3 linked regions of the Drosophila melanogaster genome follow. The protein of the gene in region 3 interacts with the protein of the main gene of each other region in a pairwise test. Each region holds a gene or a part of one and is shown on either strand. Other genes may lie near its edges. The genes, in order: Cpr65Ea, CG4998 and Got2.

What was found.
Region 1: the proteins of Got2 (region 3) and Cpr65Ea interact in a two-hybrid assay, tested with the Drosophila melanogaster proteins (one large-scale study listed by BioGRID).
Region 2: the proteins of Got2 (region 3) and CG4998 interact in a two-hybrid assay, tested with the Drosophila melanogaster proteins (one large-scale study listed by BioGRID).

Annotation. Positions count from the first base shown.
Region 1 is NT_037436.4:7,085,402-7,088,604, reverse strand, and holds Cpr65Ea (cuticular protein 65Ea), read left to right. Parts: upstream 1-1,996; 5' UTR 1,997-2,036; coding exon 2,037-2,048; intron 2,049-2,114; coding exon 2,115-2,486; 3' UTR 2,487-2,602; downstream 2,603-3,203. Other genes in the region: Cpr65Eb (cuticular protein 65Eb), read left to right, coding at 1-506.
Region 2 is NT_037436.4:16,336,936-16,340,693, reverse strand, and holds the start of CG4998 (uncharacterized protein), read right to left. Parts: upstream 1,692-3,758; 5' UTR 1,546-1,691; intron 259-1,545; 5' UTR 251-258; coding exon 1-250.
Region 3 is NT_033779.5:1,984,819-1,988,576, reverse strand, and holds the start of Got2 (glutamate oxaloacetate transaminase 2), read left to right. Parts: upstream 1-1,621; 5' UTR 1,622-1,691; coding exon 1,692-1,780; intron 1,781-2,471; coding exon 2,472-2,631; intron 2,632-2,693; coding exon 2,694-2,795; intron 2,796-2,857; coding exon 2,858-3,106; intron 3,107-3,175; coding exon 3,176-3,758. Other genes in the region: Npc2a (Niemann-Pick type C-2a), read right to left, coding at 1-188.

The sequences.
Region 1 (3,203 bases), on a different chromosome or scaffold from region 3:
TGTCCGTGCTGCTCGGTGTCCAGGCTCGGCCTTCCGATTCCCCGGATGCCCATGCCGAGATCCGGAGCTTTGTCAACGAACTGAAGCAGGAGGATGGCATCTACAATTACCAGTTCGAGACGTCCAACGGGATTGCGCAGCAGGAGCAGGGAGTGGGTGGTTACTACGCTAGCGGCTCATCACAGTACTACACACCCGAGGGCCAGCTCATCCAGTTGACCTACACGGCAGATGAGAACGGATTCCAGCCGCAGGGCGAGCACCTGCCCACGCCCCATCCCATTCCCGAGGCAATCCTGAAGTCGCTGGAGTACAATCGCAACCACCCGGAGGAGGATGGGGAGTACGAGCACCACGACCATCACCATGACCACCATGAGCATCACCAGAGCCATGGTCAGGAGCAGGGCAAGCAGTATCTGCAGCCAGCCGGTGCTCTGCTCGCACCTGCGTCATCGCCAGTGTTGTCTGTGGGTCAGGTCCTGCCCTACGACAGGAAGCTATAATGCTGCATCCGTCCATTGCATCCGTAGCCTCCGCATCCATCTTGTCCAGCTGTCCATGTTGTTGCCTGTCTGTTTGCATAGTCCATAGACCATCCAACATACGGCATCCAGCATATATAGTGCACATCAAGCAGCAGAAAGAACCATCGGAGCAACTACATCTGGACGCGGTGACACACCCACTCACACACACACACACACACACACACACTGTATATATATGTAGGAACCATCATACATTTCCATCAACATGCTCCCGGGCTCCTCAAAGGTCCTTCGTCCTCTGACCCCGGCTCCTTCTCCATTCCGTGTCCGTTGTCGGCTCGACTGACGTTGACATTTATTGCCAGAGATAATAATAATGTAATAAAAGAAAAATACAATTTAATATGCTTGTTTATACTATGAGTGCCTGTGCCGAGACGAGAGCATATGGCCGTGCCTGAAGCCATTGCACAGGAAAAAAAATATGCCGACTACGCGGTGAATAAATCATATCTGTGGCACAGTGATTCAAAAATATTTAAAAAGAAAAACGCCGGGGGTGGGGAGTACCCTCTACAGTGTGAGCAATATCAATTTTGGCAAAAACTTTAAGGGACTTCCCCTTCGCCAGCTAATTGTGACGGATTTGCTTACAAGCGTGAGAAACCAGTTTAATTTTCATTTAGGCATTAATATTTCTCTCTGTGTCAATGCCATCGCATCGCCCACATGCATCATCGCAGCAGCTAACCCCTTGAGTTTTTCCTACAAGTGTGCAGATCTGGGTTCAGTATTATCTATATATAAATTCAGACCGGAGGAAGTTCAATCAGAAATTAATAAATGCACGCTGGTATTTGTTGCTGCTCGGGAGTTTTGTATTATGCAAATTGGCATTGGCCCTTCGATTCCAAGTTGATTCGCGTCTCGAGCCGAAGAAATGTTGTAACTTCAATCATCATTGTTGGGTTGATTAAATTAACAAGTTGTAGTTGTTGTTGCCAATCTCGATGGCGTTTAGCATTGTTGATGTTTGCCGAAGAGCAACATTCGACTTTGATTTTGATGCATTGAGGTTGTGTCATCAGCGCTCCACCCAAGTTCATGATTTTTTAGGGTATAGCTAAGTTTAGGAGTGGATTTAATAATAATATTGCTAGTGCACGTTTTAAAAACATAACAGACTTTATATAAATCAATTAAGCTTTTACTGATTCATGTTTGTTTTTATGTTTAATTTTTATTGGCTTACTTATTAATCTACATTTATATAAATCTTAAAAAAAAGACTCAAAAGGGTATCCAAAAGTCGCTACTCTTCCATTGAACTCCATGCCTTGCATTAATGAATGAAAACGTGTGGCCAAAAGCAGTTTATTGGGCGAAATATGGGTCGCTCTGCATGCCCGACTTGTTTGCATATTCGGAGTCTGTGTCTGCATGTTGGCTTTGTCTTTGACTATCGGATCGGATCACTATAAATAGTCAATCGGGGGCCCAGAGTGACAGCATTAGCCACTCGGTCAACAAACCAGCAGCAGCAACATGTACAAGCTCGTAAGTGGACGGCAGATTCCTTTTGCATGGATCCAGTGATTTAATTGGACAATTCTATACCAATAGCTTCTCGTCGTCGCCCTTTTCGGATGCGCCCTGGCCGCGCCACTGAACGATGATACCATCACCAAGTTCTTGGCCAACCAGGATACGGACGGCACCTACGCCTATGATATCGAGCAGGCCAGCGGTATCCAGATCAAGGAGGAGGGTTTGGCCGGACACGAAGCTCACGGATCGTACTCCTACATCTCTCCCGAGGGTATTCCCGTCCAGGTGGTGTACACCGCCGATGAGTTCGGCTTCCACCCACAGTCCAACCTCCTGCCCACTCCACCACCAATCCCAGAGGAGATCCTGCGCTCCATCCGCTACATCCAGGAGCATCCCACTCCCGAGGAGCTGGCCGATCGTGCTGTTCGCGCCCAGCAGATCTAGAGCTGAATGGAAATTAGTAATCTTAAGTTTGCCAAAGTAGTCATCACACGATGTGTTCATCATCCCAGCCATCCGATTAAACCACAACCAGCTCTTGGCTGGTGTTAATTCCACTTATTTGCCCCGTCTATCTAATTCGCTTGGGAAAGAACTAATTAGTGGAGCAATATAATAGATCTTATTCTAGCCGAAGCGGAGACAATGCTCCGCACTTCATACTGAATATTTAACGCCAGTCTCGTGACATTTCCTTTGCTGTGAACAGTGGCTCGAAAGTTGCCAAAAATCCATTGAGTTTCGTTTCTTTGACTGCCAAATGATTTTCAAAAGTTCCCTATTGTTTAGGATTACAAAACGAAATCTGGACAACCGAAGAAACTTTCTGTGGCAATCTAAACAGCTGAAGGCCAAGGTCAACGTGGGCGAAAAGCGAAAACAATACCTTCGAGGGAGACTTTGTTTCAAATAACATGGAAAGTGCAAAGATATTGGGCTAAACTTGTTTGCGGCCAAAACAAGTCTGTGGACTTACTTTGTTGACTTTATTTTACCACAGGTGCGGATAGGCGAGAAATGGCGGTAAAATGGTAAAAAGCTTAAAAACAAAATGTAGTTTTTTTTAATAAAATCTAAAGTTAAATTTAAATATTCATAGAACTCCCAATAATAATCCGAATCACATTGTCCAATGAAAACACTGTGCGCTTGCTGCTCATT
Region 2 (3,758 bases), on a different chromosome or scaffold from region 3:
GACCCTCACGGCGGGAGTTGATCAGCTGCTCGATGACCTCGTCAATCTGGGTGGTGCTGTTGCTCTGGATGGACTCGTGGACGAGGTAACGTCCCTGAATGTCAGCTTGTTCGGCGGGCTTGGTATCGACAGATCGGCGACTGGGCATGGCATCCTCCATGGGCGCCCACTCATTTCCCCAGTTGGATTCCTCGGCCAAGGAGGCGGTGGCCAGCAGTACAACTGCCAAAAGGCTAGTTCTTATTCTCATTGTGAAGCCTGTGAAATGATTAGATAGAAAAACTTTAGGATACCAATTCTCTAATATCTACGGATATATTAATCAAGTGATTGATTGACCATCTTTGTCGCCTTTTCTTTTGAGTGGAAAATAAATTAAGAGGTTTAGTCATGATTGGTTATGACATAAGTGGCGAGCTTGACACCATTACCCCAAGTCATTGTGCCAGTTTACATTTCTCCACCTAGCCACCGATCCCTCATACCATCTTTGGCTTAACCAATCCGTAACAAAACCGAATCCGAAGCCCAAACCGGTTAGCATCACGAAATCTTCACCGTGACTCAGACTCTCGTATAAGACTTTTACTTTCATTGGAGGTCGCAGACCGTAGCACTTAATTGCCTGATTTTGTACGTTACTTTTGCTCGAAATGCGAGTCGGGATGGCGAGGGGATCGCTGGCTTCAGGTCCCCGTAATTTATGAGGTAATTTTCCTACAGATTTAGCAAGCCTACGACTGCAATCCCACCGAAGACCATCGCTCAACTTGATCTCTCGCCCTGACAGCCGCTTTCCGCTTCGTGTCTCTTTTATTTGGTAAAATTCACTTTTCTTTTCAGCCTTTATTTTTATGGTCGTTTGCATTGCAGTTATGTCACCGGCTCACAGCGAGGGCGGATTTTGTAAAAGATCGGCTACACTTAACAAAAAAATCAATTATGAATGTAATATTGGTTTAAGGAGTAACTAATAGGATAGCCAGAATTATAATTTTGCCACTCGGAATTATATGCTTAAGTAAGAAGATATATTTATATTTTAAATGATTATGTAAACAGATCTGATTCATCTAGAGCGGCATTACACACTACAATTTCGAGTTATATTTTATTTTTTATGATTTTTTTCAAGTATATATTTTCCAGTTATGTAAATGTATCTTTGGATTTCTTTAGGCCTGCTTTTTCGGCCGGAAGTTGTGCGCAGCGTTGCATTGCAAATTGCCGGCAACTTTTTCGCTTGGATTTTCTTTGGCGAGAAGTGCTCGTAAGCGATGCTAACTGCCGTTTGGTTGGGTTTGGGAAATTTTTTTAGGTTTTTCCTTTGTGTTCGCAGTGAAAGTTTCGCTTGTTCGATTGGCTTAATGACGCGGAGGCTCTTGGCCAAGAGTTTTTATTAAGTGTATGTATGTAGGCATATTTGCAACAACCATAATTTCATGTGCTGCAGACTCATAATTCACATCTAATAGCCATTCATTTAAATTAGTTCGCTTTCGGTTCACTTGAGTTCACTTTGCTAATTTCGCTCACTTCACTCACCTTTTTTGTGTCAAGTTTATTAATCCAATTGGTTAGTTATCACTGTTGTCCGGATAATCCTTATGCAATTTACTGAGTCTCTTATCCTTTCACTTCATTCACTTTCTGCACCGATTGTGCTCTTCGATGCTCTGCAGATCGTTCACTGATTTCGCTTTCGTTGGCCGCGCACATTTTATACAAAAGCTGTGCATGCGCGCCGTCGACGTCAAGCTCCAACGTTTCGCTGTCTCTGTCTGCATTGATTCCGTCTTCTTCTAGCTTTCATACCGCCTTAGTTTGCGAATCGGTAGCCCAAAACAAAAGATACAAAAGCGGCGACGGCGACAATGTTTGGCAACCCCTCTTTTTCGCTGTTAGTGTTGATTTTTCGTCTGGGTTTTTTCCTCAAATCCCCAATTCTGCCCAACTACTGGAGGTCAGTAAACGAGGCGGAAATAGGCGGAAATATCACTATGATAGCTTCATTATCAGTAAGAAACCCAGAAACTATCATCACATTCAACACATCTCTTAAACATAACTGACTGTCTTAAACATCCAAATGGGGCTTTGTTTTTTTTTTTATGATTTTACCAAATTTTAAATAACCAAATTTAGCTTCCCGGAAAGGCGTTGCTTGAGAAACCGGGATTATGCAATTCTGCAATTATGAATTGGGTCAGAGAGTAGCAACCGCTGAATAATAAAAACATCGTGAAAAAGGGTAAAATTGGGCATTGCCTCAAACCGGATCTTTTGGCATACATTCATCTTTCCCCATTTTTTTTTTACTTCATACATCTGCCTCTCTTTTTGGTTGCAGTTCAGTTCAAATCGCCTGGTTTTTAACCCATGGTCAATGCAAACGTCATCGCTCGGTCACTCGTTTCATTTTCGTTTATTTTAACGTTTTTTTTATTTAACCTAGCTCACTGTGAGTAAAAAGCGCTTGGCGGAATTACCCGAAGTTCATAAAAATTAGAGACATTCCCCCCAAACTTATTCACGATGATCACGTTCGCGTGCCACTACCTTAAATCCCAATCATTATCAGGTTTGCGTTTGTGTTGTGTATGGTCAGTGCTGCCCGGCCGGAGTGAGTCTCATTGTGATTCAGTGGCTCCAGTGGCTTCCACTTGTGTTACTGACCTTGGTTCGATGTGCTGCAGTCGTTCATCTAGCCCCCACCTAAGTGGCGTTTTATGTTAAGCATTCCAAGAAAGTTGATAATGACCAACAGAGCTTCGAAAATTATGCTAATCACATTGATTTTTCTCGGGAGTTGTTATTGTCGCCACTCTGGGCTGTTTGCCAAACACCTTTTGGCTATTTGCTCGCGATTAATTCACGAAGTTTTTATCAATCAGCGTAGCGTGTGGCGTAGTTTTTGACCATCGGGTTTTTTATGACTCATACTATCGAGCACTTTGGGCTTTTCGAAGGAGGTGCGACGAACCTTATTTTGCATCGTTTTTAATTCCGTTTGGCTTACCTTTTTTTGGGGGTACATCAATAAGATGGAAATCGATTTTAATACATTGTTAATATAATATCTATAAAGGGTTTTCCGAATGTAAATATCAAACTTATTTAAATGTACGTTTCAGTAACTAATACATCTATTTTCGTTTGTTATACTCTGGTCTGAAAACTAGCATACATGATTAATAACTCATTAGGTCTTAAAAGCTTCATATCTTATTTAAATATAAATATTTAGATAACATTCAAACAACCTGATATTTGCAGAACAATATAAATAATGTGTTGATTTTATACGTTTTTATAAGTTTTAATTTAATCTCATCTATTACAGTGTATCTACGAATGCGGCTAATTGCTATCTACAATGATTTTCCTGATAAAAATAATTTTGGTAGTTAGCTGAAACTTGGCTATTGGTAAATCCCAGTGAGTGATGAACTGAACTTGAACTTGGACCTCGCCGGAGACAACTAATGCCAGGTGGACAGTTTGTAATCCGATGGGGTTACAGGTTCAGGGGCTTGTTATTGGATCTGCATTTCGGATTTGGTATATACTCATATCTATTTATGGTGCGCTCCAACATTTTGCACATTTCTTGGGCCGCACTATTACAACATAGCCTATGTTGATTATGGCCAACTTGTTAATTGTTTGTCCAAATGGATTTGTGTGGGAATCGTGTTTGCTCTACTTTGTTAGCTTCCTCCGACTGAATCACTCTCTCCTTCTCTTTCGCTCACCAT
Region 3 (3,758 bases):
GCCAGGGCGAAGTCGATGGAGAAGCTGACCGTGGTGTTCCTCTTGAGGATGCACTCCGCCTTGGTGGTGTCGCAGCCCTCGATGGCCACCCGGGTGAACTTGCCCGTCTTCGATCCGCAATCGCTGAACTCGAGGGCTCCGGCGAAGACCACCAGTGCAGCACAGGCAATTACCGCGTACCTCAGCATTTTCTTCCACTTAATTGAATTACAAGGTAAACGTATCGGGTGGCTTTTCCGCTGGCTCTCGCCTCTTTCTGCCTCTTCACAGCGCTACGAATCTACTAAATCTGGAGAGAGTCCGAAGACAACGCAAAGCTTTCGTATGAACGGAAAACAGCTGCGCGCGGCGACTCAGAAGAAAGCTTTCTTCGACGATTGACGGGAGTGCTGCGAACTATCGCTTGAAGGGAATAAATATTATATATATTATAGCTTATATAACAATTATAAAATATAGTTATTTTAGAAAAGTAAGTATAATGTTTCCTGGCAACCATATATTAATTAATGGGGATCGCGGAGAATAAATATTTCATTGCCTACTTATGGGCATGTGCTCGAATACTGAAGCATATTTTCAAAATTCAAGTAATTAAACTTACAAAATGTAAATTTTTCCAAATATTCAGTATATGAAAGCCATAAATTAAACTGATTTTAAATAGTTTTTATTCACTCAGTCATATTTTGCACAGAAGCCAAGAGTTCGGTTAGAAAAAGTCCAAAAGGGGAGCACTGGCGAGCTTTCGCCCCCGCGATAAATATCGAATGCAGACCGGCAAAAGCTTCAGCTCACGACCTTTTGCGCTTGCCGCTTTTGTCTTTAGTATTCTCTTGAGGCCGGCGGCGATTGGCAACGTTTATTACAGTTTCTAATTGTTATTAACTTAAAGCTTAGTACAACCACCGAGTGCATTTAGCAATGTCGCAGATCTGTAAGCGCGGTTTGTTGATCAGCAACCGATTGGCGCCCGCCGCCCTCCGCTGCAAGTGAGTAAGCGGGACGGAGAGAGGGCTCCCAGCGGCCAGCGTGCGTGCTGGAAAGAGACAGCAGGCCGACGAACACGTTGCAGATGCAGCAGTGTCATTTGCCAAGGTCATTGCAGTTGCCGGTCGAGCTGCAGTGACACATTTGTGTTTGTTTTCCCCAGCACTGCATAATTTGTTTGTCCTTGCGGGCTCGTTCTCCAGTTTTAGCACTATACTAAATCTGTTATACGGATTTATTGTTATATCAGCACAGGGGCCTTTTATTTAATCATCTTTCGCTCTGGGCAAATGTAAAACAATTATTTCCGCTGTTTCCAGCTGTTTTTATCTCGTCGGCTAATATTTGCATATGTTTCGGGCCCTCTACTATACTATATAGACTGATTGGCCTATTGGCGGACGTATGTGTATTTATTTTTAAAGCCAATTCTGTGACGCTCCATGCTCTTTTCTGCTAATTTCATTCCACTTGAGGGAACATTTTGAAACCACATGACGACGGATGGGTTGGTAGAAAACAGGTGCCAAAATGAGCTTAAATCACTCCAACATTCTTGAATTATTATATTTTTAGTGGTTAGGAATAAAGAAATAATTCAAGTTTCAAAATATTTGAATTTGTACGAAATCAACTGTGAAAAAGACATCAAAAAGTATTTTTTCTACATCAAAATTGCAAGTTTAAGTTAATATTAAGTTATGAGTAGAACCATTATTATGACGCTTAAGGACATTGTGCATGTGTGGTCCAACGACCCGGGAGAACGGATGTGCCGAGCGAACAGAGTGTAGGGTATTCGTGGTCATATCACGCTTCTGTCGCGTGCTTTGATTTCCATTTTATGAAGCTCCTTGGCTTGTGGGCGGTTTGTTTTATCGAAGTCAGAAGGTTCTTTCCGGAAATCAAACAATCAGATCGAAAGACAGGTGGCGCCTAATTGAAAGAGTTTAATTAAGTTTAATAACTTCCACGATTTATTGCTGAATATTGAGAAGGAGATTTGGAAAGCCGGCTACGTCAGCAAACAATCATCGAGGTTATCGCTGACGTAGGCTTAAATGGATCTATATTGTATACTTTGTAATCGCCGACCGAGTTCCCATAATAACATGTTTACAGCTGATATGGGGGGGCTATTTAAGACCCCCGTGTCGTTGGGGGTACGAAGTGTTAACAGTGGGGGCGAAATCCAAGAAAACCTTTAGATGACTTTCAAACTTTAGTCATGAAAGCGAAATGATAAATGATAGCCACAAGTGGTCAGACGTGGATGAGATAACCTACTACTAAGCAGTTTCATAATCTACCAATTAAATTTAAAACAGATAAGGACTTCGTGGGGCGTTCTCGGGCATTCTAGGGTTAAAGGTTGACGGGCAATAGAAATCACTTGGCAAGTGTGGCAGATATAAGGATGTTTTTAATACATACGTGATGGATATTGTGATGCAATGATTAATATATCATTATTATTCTAGATCAACATGGTTCTCCGAGGTGCAGATGGGCCCACCCGATGCCATCTTGGGTGTCACGGAAGCCTTCAAGAAGGACACCAACCCCAAGAAGATCAACTTGGGCGCTGGCGCCTATCGCGATGACAACACCCAGCCCTTCGTGCTCCCCAGTGTTCGGGAGGTGAGTTCAGATCAAGTTTAAACTAAACCCAATTTTGAAACATAGTTATCGTTTATGACCAGGCCGAGAAGAGAGTGGTGAGCCGTAGTCTGGACAAGGAGTACGCCACAATCATCGGCATTCCCGAGTTCTACAACAAGGCCATCGAGCTGGCATTGGGCAAGGTAATTATATCCCTTATGACTGAGGAATGTCCTAAAAATTAATAAGTATTCCTTTATTACAGGGATCCAAGCGTTTGGCGGCCAAGCACAACGTGACCGCCCAGTCCATCAGTGGAACTGGAGCTCTGCGCATCGGAGCCGCCTTCCTGGCCAAGTTCTGGCAGGGCAACCGCGAGATCTACATCCCGTCGCCATCGTGGGGCAACCATGTGGCCATTTTCGAGCACGCCGGTCTGCCGGTGAACCGATACCGCTACTACGACAAGGACACCTGTGCCCTGGACTTTGGCGGCCTGATCGAGGATCTGAAGGTGAGGATTTACATTGCCACTGATTGATGTTCTTTGATATGCTTACCCATTGTTTATTACCTTTTCCAGAAAATCCCCGAGAAGAGCATTGTTCTTCTGCACGCCTGCGCCCACAACCCCACTGGAGTGGATCCCACTCTGGAGCAGTGGCGTGAGATCTCGGCTCTGGTCAAGAAACGCAATCTGTATCCCTTCATCGACATGGCCTACCAAGGCTTCGCCACCGGAGACATTGACCGCGACGCCCAGGCGGTCCGCACCTTCGAGGCCGATGGCCACGACTTCTGCCTGGCCCAGAGTTTCGCCAAGAACATGGGATTGTATGGTGAGCGCGCTGGCGCCTTCACCGTGCTGTGCTCCGACGAGGAGGAGGCTGCTCGCGTGATGTCCCAAGTTAAGATCCTGATCCGTGGTCTGTACTCCAATCCCCCGGTGCACGGAGCTCGTATTGCCGCCGAGATCCTCAACAACGAGGACTTGCGCGCCCAGTGGCTGAAGGATGTGAAGCTGATGGCCGACCGCATCATCGATGTGCGCACCAAGCTCAAGGACAATCTAATTAAGCTGGGATCCAGCCAGAACTGGGACCACATTGTCAACCAAATCGGCATGTTCTGCTTCACGGGCCTGAAGCCGGAGCAGGTGCAGAAGC